Linked DNA regions of Oryzias latipes. The protein of the gene in region 1 interacts with the protein of each later gene in a pairwise test. Links are inferred from orthologs where the notes say so. Each region holds a gene or a part of one and is shown on either strand. Other genes may lie near its edges.

Region 1 (5,148 bases):
TTTGGCCGCTCCGCCACAGCTGGGCCACATGTCAGCGCTCAGAAAGACGCACGGCGCCTGATAATCATCTGGTGCTGTAACCGTAGATTTACTCTCAGTTCAAAGGCTGCTTCCTTTTTGCCATCTGTCTTTTCCCTCTTCATCCCCTCTCTTCCCATTTTGATAATCTGTCCCGTTACGCAACTCAAGAGTGTCAAAGATCAAACCCCCGCTAAAGTCTTCATCAGCCAGGGGCTGATATGTGCTGATTTCTTCTCCTTCCCTGAGTCCGAGCAGCAGAAACCTGCTTTCCTCTCTTCTGTGTGAAATCTCTGCTGGTGTGGAGCATCAAACCACTCTGTGCTGTACTTTCCCAAACTCCTGCGCTTTAGAACGGGACTGTTGTCCCAGACTCCTGCGCTGTAGAACGGGACTGTTGTCCCAAACTCATGCGCTGTAGAACGGGACTGTTGTCCCAGACTCCTGCGCTTTAGAACGGGACTGTTGTCCCAAACTCCTGCGCTGTAAAACGGGACTGTTGTCCCAGACTCCTGCGCTTTAGAACGGGACTGTTGTCCCAGACTCCTGCGCTTTAGAACGGGACTGTTTGCCCAAACTCCTGCGCTGTAGAACGGGACTGTTGTCCCAAACTCCTGCGCTGTAAAACGGGACTGTTGTCCCAGACTCCTGCGCTGTAAAACGGGACTGTTGTCCCAGACTCCTGCGCTTTAGAACGGGACTGTTGTCCCAAACTCCTGCGCTGTAAAACGGGACTGTTGTCCCAGACTCCTGCGCTTTAGAACGGGACTGTTGTCCCAAACTCCTGCGCTGTAAAACGGGACTGTTGTCCCAAACTCCTGCGCTGTAGAACGGGACTGTTGTCCCAGACTCCTGCGCTGTCGTCGGCTTTTGCCTGCTTTGTAGCTGCCTCCCTTTCAGCTGCATTCTTCGCAAGTCCAGAGCAGAGGAATGTCGTTGAACAATGTTTGGAATCACAAACGTGTCACGTTCTATAAGAATGCTGCTCCAACTGGAGTCAAATCTGTGATGTGAAGCAGCAGGCGGAGGACTTAAATCTGCTCCCGTCTCACCTTCAGGGTACGTTCCCCAACACGGGGGCTCGCGTGATGCTCTTTGTTGGCGGGCCGCCCACCCAGGGTCCGGGCATGGTGGTGGGGGACGAGCTGAAGATTCCCATCCGCTCCTGGCACGACATCCAGAAAGACAACGCACGACACTTAAAGAAAGCCACAAAGGTGACAAAAGCTCAAGAGCTTTTCTTCTTTTTGGGGAAAACGAGTCCCTTCGTCTCCTGACGTTTCTTGATGCTCCACAGTTCTACGAGGCTCTGGGCAACAGGTCGGCGGCCAACGGCCACTCCATCGACATCTACGCCTGCGCTCTGGATCAGACCGGACTGTTGGAGATGAAGTGTTTGTCCAATCTCACCGGGTACGTCCACTCTCACCGTCTGCCAGCGTCCAACCTTCTACCCTGAGCGGGGGCAATAAAGCTTGTGTCTCTTTTAGCGGCCACATCGTCATGGGAGACTCCTTCAACACCTCGCTCTTCACACAAACCTTCCAGGGAGTCTTCAGTAAGGACCACAACGGAGACTTCCGCATGGCCTTTGGTGGCGTTCTGGAGATCAAGGTAAAGAGGTCGCTTGCTCGCCGTCGTTTCCTGGCAGAATGTTTCCCGTCCGTCAGAGGAGCTGACGCCAGCTGTCTCTTTACAGACATCCAGAGAACTGAAGGTTTGCGGCGCCATCGGACCCTGCGTTTCCCTCAACTCAAAGGGACCCTATGTTTCAGAGAATGTGAGCCCCTCCCACGTTACACTGTGGACCCCTCCCTCACCCTGAGCTGTCACTCATCAGTGTTTGTTTTCTGTAGGAGATGGGCATTGGGGGAACAAACCAGTGGAAGATGTGCAGCCTCACCCCCTCCTCTACTTTGGGCATTTACCTTGAAGTTGTGAATCAGGTAAACGTCTCTTTGATCATGAAGCTCATTTCAGGATGAGAGCTGAACTGATCTGGATTCTCTGCACTAAAAGGCAGGAATGAGGTCAAACTGGGTTTTTCTGTTTTGTCTTTTGTAGCACAACGCTCCCATCCCCCAGGGGGGCAGAGGGGCCATCCAGTTTGTCACGCAGTATCAGCATTCCAACACTCAGAAGAGGATACGGGTCACCACCATCACCAGGAAGTAAGAATCTTTTAAATTCCTAATCATTTTCAGGTGATTTCAAACTGGGTCAACGTCGACACACCTGTATCGACACAGGCACACCTGTATTCATTCCTGCCTCTTTCTGCCCCCCTCCCTAAGCTGGGCCGATGCGCAGTCTCAGATTCAGCACATTGAGTCCTCGTTTGACCAAGAGGCGGCCGCCGTGCTCATGGCTCGCCTGGGGGTCTTCAGGGCGGAGTCAGAAGAGGGCCCCGATGTGCTTCGCTGGCTGGACAGGCAGCTGATTCGCCTGGTGAGTAATTCTGCTCAAGAATGAGGATGCATATCTGTCATAGCTGAGGCTTTGAAGCAGCGGCCCCGCCTTCATGCTGGTATTTGATGTTATTGTGATTGGAATGCTGGGTATTCAAGCAACGTTTCATCCCTCAGTGTCAGAAGTTTGGGCAGTACAACAAAGAAGATCCCACATCGTTTAGGCTTTCCGAGTCCCTGTCTCTGTACCCACAGGTAAGTCCGCCCTCTAGTGGCCACTGGTGGTAAACAGGCTCACACTGGGTCTGGTTGGTTTTTCCATTACCAGCGTTTACGTTTGTTGTCCCTCCCCCTGCAGTTCATGTTCCACCTGCGGAGGTCGCCCTTCCTGCAGGTGTTCAACAACAGCCCCGATGAGTCGTCCTACTACAGGCATCACTTCACCAGGCAGGACCTAACCCAGTCCCTCATCATGATTCAGCCCATCCTGTACTCGTACTCCTTCCACGGACCACCAGAGGTCAGCCTCGCTCCCCCCACCCATCCGTAAGTCTCCCACCGGGGCTTCTGTTCCAGTCCTGACCCTGTGACCCTGTCTTCTCACAGCCCGTGCTCCTGGACAGCAGCAGCATCTTGCCGGACCGCATCCTGCTGATGGACACATTCTTTCAGCTGGTCATCTACAACGGAGAGGTGGGACCTTGTCCTTCAGCTTCCATTTTGCTCAAACTAGCACAGCGTTAGACTTACAGCGTGTGTGTTTTGTTTTACAGACTATTGCACAGTGGCAGAAGGCGGGCTACCAGGAAATGCCCGAGTACCAGAACTTCAAGCAGCTCCTCAAGGCTCCACAGGACGATGCCAACGATATCCTGGAGACACGCTTCCCCATGCCGCGTTACATCAACACTGAGCACGGCGGCTCGCAGGCACGCTTCCTGCTCTCCAAAGTCAACCCATCACAGACGCACAACAACCTCTACGCGTGGGGACAGGTGCGCGCTCACGGCACACACATCTGTTTGTCTAAGGCTTTACACTTCGTCAGAGGGGGCGGGGCTTCCGGGTGTCTTTGGATCCTGAACATATTTGAAACAGAGCCAGAAATGAAAGCCGATGGCAGAAGTCGATGGTAAAGCTCGCAGGTGACTCAATTAAAGCTGAGATGACTGGAGAAGTTAAAAACAAACAAAAAGGAGGACAAAACAAAAAACCTCAGAGGTCAATTCGAAAAAAGACGGTCAAGAGATGAGCCTAAAAGCGCATGGAGACCATTTAATGTTGTTTTTAAAATTGATGTTCAAAAGCCACATCTGAGGAAAAAGGCTTTTGGGAATTATTTATTGTAAATGGGATATCTTTGGAAAAAACAGACTTGAGTGTGACAGTGAAGGTTTAGCTTCCTCGTTGAATTCAAACGGATGCGTCAAACGTCTGCCGAGGCCCAAGCATTCACGGATCCTGTCTGGGCTTGGTCAACCAAAAGTCTGGAAGATGTTAGGAATCCTCTGGATGCCTGTGGGGGTTGTGGGATTTCTGCTCCCTTCCTGCCGTGGATCGTGGTGTTTGCTTTGGAGTTGACGTGTTTTCCTCTCTTCCTGCAGGAGTCGGGGGCTCCCATCCTGACCGACGACGTCAGCTTGCAGGTCTTTATGGACCACCTGAAGAAGCTGGCAGTTTCCAGCTCGGCGTAAACACAAGAGGAACGCCACATTCCCGTTCAGCTTTCAGGATCCATCGACATTTCCCTGATTTTTGTGAACGAGCCAGACTCACACAGTCGTCTGTTTGTACTAAATCGATTCTCACTTTGTTCTATTGTGGCCTGTGGGGTCCATAACAAGGTTCCTGTAAAGAAATACATTTTCATAGAGGAAAACATATTTATGTGAGTGTATGAAGCTAACAAAGGTGTCTCTGAAAGTCTGGAGCGACCAGACTGATGTTTGTCTTAAATGAGTGTCTGCTGAGTATGTTTGCTTTGTCCATAGCTGAAAATGATATGTAGAATGTTTTTGAACAAATAAATTATGATTGCATCTCGAATGCTCCCTCAATCTAATGATTACTCCTTCATTTGACGGACATTAAAGTTCCTTCAAGGACCATACTTCCAGTGTTTTCCAGGAAGATTCCAGCTTACCAAGGATCATGTCTGCAGGCAATCAGCTGAGAGCTGAGGCTGCTTGTCTTCCGTTTGGGTTCATTTTCTGCTCGATGACCATCTGCTGTTTTGCCCTCGGTGATCTTTGTTGTCTTTGTAATCAAAGGAGGCTGAAGAAGGGACCAGTTTTTCCATGAAGCGCGTACAGAGAGCTGCTAACATAGAGCAAGCAGTCTATGCTTTGAGGCCGAGATTCCTCCTAAAAATCCACTTGTTTTGTAAAAGCAGCAGATGGAGAGCAGCTTCTCTGTCCTTTTGACCGCAACAGAAACTGCTGTGAGGAAGAGATTGCAACATTTTGTCACAACACTGCATGAAGGCAACAATATCCCCAAACAATGGCGATGTTTCCTTGGCTTTGGTTGCAGATGTAAAGCCCACATGACACACAATCAAAACAGGCGGCGGCAGGCATCACTGTAAGCTGATTCCAGAGCAGACAGTATGATTTCGAGGATCAGTGAGTGACAGATTATGAAGACTAATCCTTCAGGGCTACGTGTTAAAAGGCAAATTCTACTCTTATCAGCTTTAAGCAGAACTTGCAGCAGAAATAGA
Region 2 (5,751 bases), on another chromosome or scaffold:
CCACAGTCAGTCCACCAGCAGCGCTGGGAACTCTTCTCTGTCACCCCCGCCTGACCCTCTTCCCTGCTCGTCGGTCGCCAGCTCGTCCCCGGTCGCCGAGGCGCAATCCCAACACAGACCCGTCAAGAATTCCTCGGCCGCCCAGTGCTCCAGCTCCAACGGAGGTGCGCTGCTGCTTAGTCGGGACTGTGTGTCCAAAGCTTCCCCTCTGGAGGACGAAAAGGCTGCAGGAAGCGCACCATCAACTCCTCAAAATGCCAGCGACTCAGCACAGCCTCAGATATATCCGTGGATGAGAAAACTCCACATCAGCCACGGTAAACGTTTTCATTGAATAACAAGCTGGTTTTTGTTAAATAGCAGGTCATTACTGAGTCATTTAGGAAGCGTTGCATCGTATAGCAAGGCAAAATGAAATATATTTGCATGGCATGATGGTTTGCAAATCCAAAATTATGGTTTTCACGTGAAAAGCAAATGGCGCCAAAATGCACCATCTCACCTGTTTGATAGTTTGGATTCACTTTTGTCCAAGTACGAGACAATTTATATTTACACCATGCAACGCTAAATGTAACCTTAAATGATTAAATCAATCTCTAAAAATGCTTAATATGTTCTCCACTTTTTTAATTAGCTAGCCAAATCTCAGGATTTAAATGTTAGTTATTTTTTGCTCGTGAACTTTCCTTTTTTTATTTTTAACTTTTGTTTATGATTTTATTGAGGAAATATTTTCATTTTCACTTAATCATATTTATAATAAAATGAATTTGTATAAGTTCAAGCAGCAGAAATTGTTTTTGTTTATTGTAAAAGTCTTTGGTGATTGAAATGTTTTCCTCCCTTTTTCACGCATCAAGATATCTCCGGACCTGAAGGCAAAAGGGCCAGAACCGCGTACACCCGGTACCAGACCCTGGAACTGGAGAAAGAGTTCCACTTTAACCGGTATCTGACCCGCAGACGGAGGATCGAGATCGCGCACGCCCTCTGCCTCTCAGAGAGACAGATCAAAATCTGGTTTCAGAACCGCAGGATGAAGTGGAAGAAGGACAACAAACTGAAAAGCATGAGCATGGCGGCTGCAGGCGGGGGAGCCTACAGGCCGTGATCTCCCTCCAGATAATGAAGAGCACGTACAAAAAATAAATGCAAAAAAAAAAAAAATTAAAAACAGAAATTGCCATATCAACCCTTCTTTCACTTTTGAGGAAAAAAAAGACTTGTTGACTGTGCAGCCGGGGCAGGGGGCACCCCAACTTCTCCATGTCCAGAAAAAGTCTCCATTATATTCCTAAATATAATTTTCTTTAACCCTTCATCGAGTTAATGCTTATGTGGATTCTGTACAGTATTGTCTAGTTTTAGGGGAAAAAAAGAATACGTGGAAATACATGTTTTTTTTAAATTATTGTTTTTGTCCAGGCTGGAAAATAAAAGAAAAAGCGATGAAAGTGGTGCAAACTATTGCAGATATTTCTGTGACAAAGCAAGCTCGCCAGAAGGTTTGCGTTCAGCCTGGATTTCTCTGTATTTACTGTAAAAATGTGTGTATTTATTGGTTTGATGTATTGTACAAAAATCAGCTTCCAGATGTAGAACCAGCATAAAAAAGCCTTTGTGTGGTAGTCGCTGTGAGCACATGTGTGGGCAGAGGTGCATGCCGCCTCACCCTTGTGTGTACAGTAGCTGTGCCTTGTTTTTCTTTGTTTTCCCAGCAGCTTTGTGTTTGAGGTGTTCACCTGGGCGCAGCATCTTAGTAAAGAAACGTGCTTTTGTCTCGCTGTTTTCTGTGTGGACGGTCCCACGGTAAATCCCTGTGCCTGTGTGTAAAACTTCATCGTGCCAAGCTTTTTTGGAAATGTTATTATTTTTGTTCCCTCTTAAAGACTGGAAGTCAAAATATGCTATAAGAATAAAGATGGTCTTGGTAAAAATGGCTGTGATGGCCGCGATAATAAAGTTTTTACTGGAATGAAAACTTCATTGTGAGTTTTTGTAAAGTTTTGTTGTTGTTTTGGTGTTTCAAAAATTTCTAATTTCTTAAGTTAAATCAACAGGTTTCACTTGGAATCATGCTTTGACTCACCTTGCCCTGTGTGCGTGTAAGGCTTCGAGGGCCGTGCGTCCCCAAGCAGACTCGTGTCCTATGTTCTCGAAGAATCAGCTCGACTTTTCTGGCTGTAAACTTTATTAAGGGGTTGATTCTGGCTCCCTGACATTTAGGTGCTAAATGAATGGGGGTTTTGTCTATGAATTAGATCGTAAAAATCATCCGGAGACCGGCCAGATAGGCTCACTGGCCATAAACGGTCACGTGGTAGCCATTAAAGTAAGTTTTATGGTTTTGGGGAGTTGACAGTATATTGCACATAACATATAATCGCACGGAAGGCGAAGCTTCGTCTGAGTCTCCCTTTGCACGCTGGAAGCGATACTTGACCGGTTCAGAGCTTTTTTTCGTGGCGCAAGCTGCGCCAGCGTGGACCGGACGCTTTGTAGGATGGGGAGCGCGTCCCTGGGTGAGTTTCTGCAGATTGGTCGGTAGCCTGGGAACAGCTATCCCGTGTTAAACAGTCGTATTATTGTACTCGCTCCATCTATCCGTCCCTATTAGTCTATTATACTAATTTGTCAGTTGTGGAGTGCTGCATACTGGTCTGGGCAGATGTTGCACAGGGTTGGGTTCGGCTCGTGGCTATTTAATTGCTTCCTTCCCTGCGTAACTGGCTCTCTTCCATCTGTGGTGTAACTCATAATCCATTTTTACATGTTGGATAATTATCTCTGTGTCCATTTCCACCCCCGCAAACTTGTCGTTTTATTACATTGGAGAGTTCACAGAGCATGAGGCAAAAAGTTGCTTGGAGTGTGGGAGAAGATGCGCGTTGCCACAGGCCTGCAGATCTGCAGACCGCAAGAAGGGATTGTTTAGTGATTGTCAGCGACTTTTCAGGCGCGGATAAAGTTGGCAGTAGCTTTGTCGCGCGCTGCACATGTTGGCTGTGAGTTGGCTGTGGGTGAAAGGCTGTGGATTTCGGGGTTGGCTGTAAACAGTGTCGAGTAAACACAACACGGATGAAACAGCAGAAGGGAAATGTTTGAAAGGAATTCCCTTTTGTGTCGAGCCAGTCTTATTGTGTTTGAGGTTGAAAAGTTCAAATGACATCTCAAAAACTCACTCTCGCTTTGTGGTGACCTCTTGTCCGCGCGGCCAGGGGCAAAGCCGGCCACCAGCGGACATAGGTAACAAAAGCGCGAGTGGACAAAGGCATAAGTTGTGCAAAAATATTTGTCCAGAAACGTTTGTAATATCTCTTAGCATATTTGCTAGCGTTACACCAGGAGACGTTTTGTCTATGCGCATCCTTTTTCAACCCAAATGCGCACAAAAAGGTTTAAAAAAAACTGAACATTTCTTTAACGTTATATTTTGGAATAGTAAAAGGATAACCAAATCGGAAAAACTTTTTGAATGTAATGGCTTTATTTTGACGAGGGATTTCTCCTTTTTTAAATACATTTTTAGAATCAAAATTAACGGAAAAAAACACCCACCACCAAAGTTATCTGTTAAAATGTTCAAATGGTGGGTGGAAAATGAAAATCTGAGTTGATTCAAGATCCAGATGTGTTTTTTTGTGTATCTTGAAATGGTTTAAATTTATTCTCTAATCAAAAAACTCACTAAATAGCCAAACAGGTTTGAATTTTGAGCATCTTTGCTTTACGATATTTTTCATCAACGATCCTAACAAGCAGAATTCAACCCTTTAGGATGAAGTTTGAGCCCTAATGAAACAGGATGTTCCATGTGTGCAAATAGTTGGAACTGGAACCCTTTTGCCAATATTTCAGAGGGAGACGTTTCGACAGGGCCCCATGTGCCGCGCATTGCCGGCAGATAGAGAAGGGAGGCTGCGCAGGTTCATCGGGAGGTCAGCCGCAGCAGCAAGATAAATCTGCATCCTCTCGGAGCCACCAGCAGAGCTCGCTTTAGGCCAAGTTCACTGTCACTGCAGCAAAAAGGCAATAGTACGCGCACGTGAACAGATAGCAGCGTGCGTCTTCATGTGTATTTTGTGGATTAAAAAAGATGCGCAATAATGAACCCCAGGACATACTAGCACTTTTAGAACAGACAGCGCTACCAGATGAAAAAAAAAACTGTTTTCTCCAACAAACTCTTTTGGTTGCTCCGACTTAAATGAGTGATTTGCATATTTTATGGTTCTGCCGCTCCTGGGTTGGATCCATTTCTCTTTTCTGTGTTTGGAAACCTCACTAAAAGACGATCGCATCTTTTTGCTGGCATCTTATCAAATTTGTGAAAACGATCATTGTCGCACAAAGAGATGTACACGTTGTTAGAATCAACTTTTCTCATGTGGAGGAGAGGTGATGGTGGGGAGGAAGGGGAGGCATGGCAGACATCTCTCCGGGCTGGGGCTGATGAGAGCGAGATAGCAGCAGAAGAGGAGGAAAAATTGGGGTCAAAAGTTTACGCACTGAACAAGTCTCAGTCATCTGTTCACTCAGAGCCTGATGCCAGCTTTATAATAGGGATCTTGACTCTCCACACAAAAGGCAGAATAGCTTTGCATTACATATGTTGCACGGTGCACTCCAGGTGAACCCTGGAAGCGCGATGACCTCGCGTTTGGGACCGGGGGGGGGGCAACAAGATTGAGTGGCTTGCGTTTTATTAGGGAGGTTGATTGGTGAATTTCCTTTGAATAAATTGCATTTGATATGTTTAGGGACCAGGGCAAAATTTGCATTTTGAGGATTGATACTCTCGACCCTGTCAGAGTATTGGGAAGGCCCACAGCCCCCTAAATGAGCCCCCGGATCCCTTAAAAATCGTTTAGCCCCTTTCTTCCTGTTCAGCTCAATAGAAGCCTTTTAAAAAGAGGAATGTCCCAGATGTTTTGGTTATTTTAGAAAAAAATGTCAGAAGATATTTCTGCACAAACATATTTGATTCAGTAATACTATTTTTTTGTCTCATGAGGCCTTTTCCCTTTTGACAAACGAAAATAAATACATTTAAAAAAGTGAACCTTTAAAATTGGCTCTGGAAAAAATAAATATTGTCTTAAAATAAAAATGATAACAAGGGAGATGTTAAATATTGTCTTAAAATAAAAATGATAACAAGGAACATGTTAAATGTCAAACATTTGTAAAAATGAAATATACAAAAATGAAAGTTAAAACTTTTTTTATTACAATGCAAATTAGAATAAAACATAAATGGAAAAAATACAAACATACTGAAATGTTCCACATCACAATAACTATTACATTTTTTAAATCTTTTATTTGGGACAAAAAATGTTTATTTGTTTGTGATCCAGATTTTCCCAGTTTTTAAAAGCCTACAAAGTACAGAATTTACTGATGGGATTAAAATGTAATATTTTACATTTCAATGCACCTTTTTGTGTAAACATTTAACTCTTTGTAATAAGTTTGTAACACATCAAAGGCTGCATTCTGTTGCTTTGTTGGGCCTTAAGTGATAGTAAAATGTTCTGTCACACTTTAGTCATAAAACAAAGTATACTGATTTGGTAATCTATTACTTTATTTTTTATTAACCAAGATTTTTTGTCCTCCTTTGCTTCAAATTCTCTCATTAGTTTGATTGTGTTATTAAGTGTCCAAGCGCCTTAGCACTGTCAAAATCTGCTCTTTAAAGTATTCAATCTGCACAATAAGTCAATTTGGCGCACAGATTCGCAT
Region 3 (5,916 bases), on another chromosome or scaffold:
AAACTCAAAGAATCGTCTGGTAAGTATGAGGGATTTAATTCACAGCCAGTGAATGAGCAGACTTGAGGTAAGAGGAGCACCCGTGGAGGTTTTTTCCTGTGGGTGAGCAACGAACTGACTAATATTTAACAAGCACAAGCATATATTGTACCCAGAAGGTGCCTGCTCACACATCGTCTGTACAGTTTTAGCAGTGAAAAAGAATACCCACAGACAAGGCACGGGTGGTGGGTCACCAAAGGCTGACCTTACCCCAGCAGAGGACATGGCCTTGGAGCTAAATAAAGGCAGGCCCGTCTTCGAGGGGATCCCTGGGGAGAAAGAGACGAGCATAGGTTCCTCCCAAGATGCCACCCGCTTCATTCAAGGTATGTCCTTCCATCTCTACATGGAATACAACCACATTCATATTGAATCAGTTTGGACTGTCTGACCCCGGTTTACCTATTGCCTTGCAGTGTCTGGCAGCACTGTGTTCCTGTTAGAGCCACCAGCACAAGCACCAGACTATGCTGATCCAGTGAGTACTCCATCAAAGGCAGACTGTAGGCCTGGCATGTCTTGTCTACTAGCTTCAATATCCGACTAAATGTGATAGGGTGAAAGCCCCAGTGCAGCAGCAACAGCACATGATGGAGACGATGAGGAGGAGGAGACCATCACTCTGGATTCCAGAAGGCATGAGGTATCATGTTAAGACTGTGAAAGTACTTTTCACTCTACAATGGTGAGGTGTCCTCATCCAAATCCAAAAGTCTAATTTCTTTTACAGGACCCAGATGCTATATAGTGGGAAAACCAGCCTGGCAACATAGTGCGTATTAATAAAAGGACACCACATCCTGCCAAATTCCAGCTGCGCTAATTGTATTGTGTTCACAGAGCTCAAAAGCTATCAGAAAGATGTATGGCAACCACCTCCGGCGCCAAATAGAACTGGTAGACGTAGACATTCAGTACAGGAATAAATTTGTCCTGCATTTATTTTAGTGTGCAGACATGCAGGGTGTGTTATGTACAGACCTTTGAATGTGTATGTATCATTTTGTATAATATGCTTTGATTCTGTGCTTTCCATCTTGTAGAGTCACTGTGACTTCAGTTTCGAAAGGAGCTGATAGTTTACCTGCTTTGTTTTGTCCTTATTCAATAAAGGAACATAATGGTACACATTGTGTTTTTATATTCATATGGAATGTGTATTTGTTTATATGACAGAGTACTAGGGCCCCACTGAGGAAAAAGGATAAAGTCATCAATTTATGAAACTGTTGCTTTTCTGCAGAAAACAACATATTCTTTTTACAGTTCTGATAGTTATGACAATGTGATACTTCATATTCTGGCACATCAGCATGTCTTCGTTTATGAAACCATACTGAAGGACAATTTCACGAAATGCCCCACATCTGTCATTTTAACAACTGTCCTCCTTTAAAACAACTGGTTACAATATTATGACTTGTCTTTTTTTTCCGCTCTGTGGCCCTAATATTCTATCATTTTATATATAGCCTTATAGTCTATGGGAAACTGTAAATTATCTAATGATAGCAACATCATCTAAAACTCATTATTTATCCAAAATGATTGAAATTAATGATCACGAACGTTTAAATAATGACAGCGGGTCTAGTTATATGTGATAACAATGTATAGTGAGCAGTGAAATAACTATTGGTTTCCATTTGTGGCGACTGCTGACTGACATTAGGGATGTGATTAAATAGATCCTGGAATTTAGCCTGGTCTGGAGCAGGCTAGCTCCACAGAATAAATCTCCATGGTAATTTATACCATAACATATCCTCCTGCCCCCTATCCAGCTTTAGTGCAACCGGATTGGGGATCAATTGAGCCAGGATCACCAAGATATCCTGGCTTAATCCCGTATCCTACTTTTGTGCAACAGGCCCCAGGTCCTTCTGCAGTAAATTGTTTTGGTAATAAACCTGGGGAAAAGCAAATACCACTATCTACAATAACTGTGTTGATAATAAACTAAAAGAAGTTTCATATAAAATATTACATCAAATGTATCCAGTAAAATTAAATGGAGGAGATTATATAAACATAGATGAGTCTGGAGGTTTTTGTCCAGTAGATTATTGTTTTTACAGTTTTTACACCAGAAGACTTTGGTGGGATGTTGAAGACTTAATTATAAAAAAAAAAAAACTGAATGTAAATATAAGAATTCATATTTTTGAGATCATGTTGTATTTTGAATCATATGGTTTGTTCATGAAATTCAATTTTGTTATTTAATTGGTAATTATTTTAGGCAAATTTCACGTTCATGAGTGTAAATGGTCACATTTACTTAAATCATGTTACAAAACAAAAGAACATTTAAAATCTGAAGGTTTCAAGAACATTTTATTTTTAAAGGAACTGCATTTAAATACATATTTATATGGTAAACCTCTGGTTTTTAATGCACTGTCCTTGTGTTTCCTTTTACATGTTGTTCACAATAAAGTTTTGTTAAAAAAAACGGGTTTCTGCGTAGACTGTTGTTTTTTTTGTTGCGTCCACGCATATCGTCTCAGACAGTGTGGCAGACGTGGCACTACGTCATCAGCCCGCGTCGGAGCTAGCTGGTAGGTGACAGCGTTGTTCTTCGTTTCGTCAGGATAATTATATCTGTTCATGATTTCTTTACCAGAGCGGGTTTGTACAATCGGTTCTCGTGAAATGGATCTGCGCAGCGGCCGAACCGGTTCTGGATCTCCCTGTTTCCTAGAACTAGACTGGGACGTCAAAGGACTTAAAACTCTCACTTGTGACATTTTTAAAACTTAATTTATGAGGCTGAGATCAGAGTCTGTTTTCATTGTTAAAGGAAACCAGCGGGTCTGAACTTCTGCGGCAGAACCGGGCCTTAAAGCAGCCGATCTGCGCCTCTTTCACCCTAAAGTAGAGACCTGCACAAACTGTTTTTTGTAGAATTGTACACTTTAATTGTAAAATCAAACAATAAATTTTTGTTAAAAATAATAATGTTTACAAGAAATTTACATTGCACAAAAAGAGAACATTTCTTCTTCTTTATTTGACTTTTTAGACCTGCAAAAACATTTTTTTAACCTTAAAAAGCTTTTTATGACACAAAATCAAATGCCTCTTTCACTTAAAAAAGATTTCTAAATGTATTTATTCATCCTATATAGGAATTATTCTGACACAAAGTAATAAAAAAAATTGTTTAGCCCGCCTGTTAGTTACTGCTTCATTCTTTTCTTTTTTTCAATAAACTTTATTATTCAACACAATTAGAACAATAAGTATGACAGGAACAATAGTCATAACAACAACAATGTCAGGGGGTGGTACATGTATTACAAAAAGATTACAGATGCTATGAATTGAAAATATTCAAAGACAGACAGTTTTCATAAACATGTATGGCCTTTTTGTTTAAACTATTAGAAATAGTATGTAAATAAGATTCTAACTCTTTAATTATTAAAGACGCACTGCCGTGTCGATGGGCTGCTTTTTGTGGAAATTTTTTTAATGTTGAAAAAAACAGCATCAAAGTTCTATCAACTGATTTAATATTTCTATTTTTCCTAAATGACTGTGAGAAGAGCAGGATAATGCTATCAGACATGAACACAGAAGTCAAATTAACGGAAGAAAAAAACGATAATTTGACCCTCCTAATCAATAACTCTGCTGTTTTCTTGATTGTGTTTGTGGGAGGGGCTCCTGTGACGCCTCCATAGCGGGTTTGGGCCGTCGGCTCCACGTCTGTTTTAGAACAGAGATTTTCAGCTGGACTCTCGTCAGCTCGCTGGTAAAGTCCAGCTTCTTCCAGCTGAGGCGATTCACTAGAGAAAAAGCAGTTGATCCGTTACGTCATCACATCCCAGCTGGATTTCGTAACATTTGAGGTCAGCCCCCCTGACACCGCTGCTCGTGTCCTGGTCCAAACGTGGAAGAGGGTCCACACCGGTTCTGGTTCATGTAAAGGCCCGTACACACCGGGACGAATATTCGCCAGGCGTTATTCGCCAGCGTCTTTCAACATGTTTTTTGTGTTCACACCCAGGCGATTTTCGCTGACGATGAGCCGAGCGAACATGCAATTTCATTCCCTGACATTAGATGGCGCTTAATGTAAAACAGAAATACTCCTGTACACAAGGTGGCGCTGCGCAACCTTAGGCTTCTTAAAGTCGCTTTTCACTCAGAAGAAGAGAGCAAGTATTTACGCGCTTGTCAGAATAATACAAAGAAAACATGAATATTTCAAGCACCAGTAGCTCCAACTGGTGCTTGGTTCGGGGATATTTTAGAATGTCCGTCATTATTTCTTGCTGTGTAGACGCTACTCGGCGTCTATCTTCTTCGCTGGCATGTGTGCTCAGCAAGGCAGTTTTGTGTTTGAGCGCCCCCAAGTTGTGTTTTACTGTAACTTCAGAAGCTCCAGGCATGTGTGAAAAAGCGCCATTCTCATTGGTCGAATAGATTTCGACGCAACGCGTCGAAAAAAACAAACAAACCCGAGGCAGGTTTTTTTTTTTGACGCTTTGACGCGTGGCGTTTTTTCGCGTCGGTGTGCACACTCTCATTGGTGCCCTTTGTTTAGTCACGAGGCGTTAAACGTCAGCGAAAATCGTCCCGGTATGAACGGGCCTTTAGAGTTCACTTTAAGGTTCCTTTGTTTTTTAATGTCTCAGTGATCAGCTGACCCCCGTCTGGCGTTTCTGGTCAGCTGATCACTGAGGTCCAGAAGGACGTGTAGGGGGGGCAGAGCCGTTTCTATCTAAATATTAGACAAGCGTTCAATGTCCAGTTATAAAACGTGGGACTCATTTTTATAGCCAAGCATTTGGTCCCACGTGAGATTTTACTGTTATTTTAAATCTCAAGTTTTTATTGTTTTCCATGTTTTCGTTATTTATTACATTTGTTTTAACAGTTTTTATTAAGTTTAGCTGTTAAAGTGCAGTGCTGTGTTCAATATGAAAGAGGATGAAAAATAGATTAAATCTACAGCATAAATATAACGATTGAAAATACGGAAATGACGAAAATTTGGACATTTGTTTTTTTTAGCCCCAACTTTTAAAGAAGATTTTGACAGACGGATGTTTATTTCTTTGTGAGCAAATAGGAAAATGCCAAAGCAAGTTTCTCATGTTGCTAATTACCCCTCCCACATATCACTTAATGAATTATTTAACATCAGTAACTCCAAAGAAATAGAAAATTAGAATTATTTTTAAGTTTTAATTTTTTAGATTATAGAAAATATTGGGCTTGTTTTAAAAATGTTTAATATTCCCAAATTAAATCATGGAAAATAGATATGAATGAAACAGTTTAAGAATTTATTTTAGTAAATCATTAACTGGTGGTAGATTTGGATTCTAACAGCTAAACGGACAGTGGTATACGTTTTTATTCTAACTGCAAAAATACTGAGCTGAGAGGCGTCCGTCTGCCTTGAACACCTTTACCTTTTGCGACCTTTGACCCAGTTTTCCCAAAGTAACCCATTCATGGCTTGTGATCTTTATTTCTAAATGCATCAAAGTCTTTTAGATTTTCCCCAAGTTGTAGGGATGAACAGGGAAAATGTTTGTAGAATAAATGAACCAGTTGATACTTTTACCTTAACATCCCATAATTCCTTTGTTGCAGTGCAGGAATAAAGCTGAGAAAATGATGCAGGAAAGTGGGATTGAGACGAGACCTCTGGAGAACCTGAGTGCTGCCGTCAGCGGAGCCTCAGCCTCCGGTAAGACGTCTGTCTTTCTACTGGACAAACTTTCAAGAACTTCTTTATTGCTTTGTGTGCAGTTACACACTTCTGAACAGTGTCGTTATTTTACACAGTTGTTTTCCTGCACCTTCATTAACAGTTGAGTACAAACATGCAACCTCATTTTTGGTCAAGGTAAA

What was found. The genes of interacting proteins can lie anywhere in the genome.
Region 2: the proteins of protein transport protein Sec23A (region 1) and homeobox protein Hox-A3a interact in binary tests that used the Homo sapiens proteins (3 or more experiments, as listed by UniProt). The two-hybrid records come from large-scale screens. The link is inferred for Oryzias latipes from reciprocal best matches to the Homo sapiens genes SEC23B and HOXA3.
Region 3: the proteins of protein transport protein Sec23A (region 1) and prrc1 interact in binary tests that used the Homo sapiens proteins (3 or more experiments, as listed by UniProt). The two-hybrid records come from large-scale screens. The link is inferred for Oryzias latipes from reciprocal best matches to the Homo sapiens genes SEC23B and PRRC1.

What each region holds. Positions count from the first base shown.
Region 1 is NC_019859.2:30,190,072-30,195,219, forward strand, and holds the end of protein transport protein Sec23A, read left to right. Parts: intron 1-1,076; coding exon 1,077-1,235; intron 1,236-1,315; coding exon 1,316-1,431; intron 1,432-1,508; coding exon 1,509-1,632; intron 1,633-1,717; coding exon 1,718-1,798; intron 1,799-1,874; coding exon 1,875-1,964; intron 1,965-2,082; coding exon 2,083-2,189; intron 2,190-2,312; coding exon 2,313-2,466; intron 2,467-2,603; coding exon 2,604-2,681; intron 2,682-2,784; coding exon 2,785-2,946; intron 2,947-3,032; coding exon 3,033-3,119; intron 3,120-3,199; coding exon 3,200-3,421; intron 3,422-4,030; coding exon 4,031-4,120; 3' UTR 4,121-4,483; downstream 4,484-5,148. UniProt on the Homo sapiens protein: Component of the coat protein complex II (COPII) which promotes the formation of transport vesicles from the endoplasmic reticulum (ER).
Region 2 is NC_019869.2:11,344,457-11,350,207, reverse strand, and holds the start of homeobox protein Hox-A3a, read left to right. Parts: upstream 1-2,394; 5' UTR 2,395-2,525; intron 2,526-5,751. UniProt on the Homo sapiens protein: Sequence-specific transcription factor which is part of a developmental regulatory system that provides cells with specific positional identities on the anterior-posterior axis.
Region 3 is NC_019882.2:18,550,895-18,556,810, forward strand, and holds the start of prrc1 (protein PRRC1), read left to right. Parts: upstream 1-2,559; 5' UTR 2,560-2,603; intron 2,604-5,655; 5' UTR 5,656-5,676; coding exon 5,677-5,752; intron 5,753-5,916. UniProt on the Homo sapiens protein: May act as a regulator of the protein kinase A (PKA) activity during embryonic development.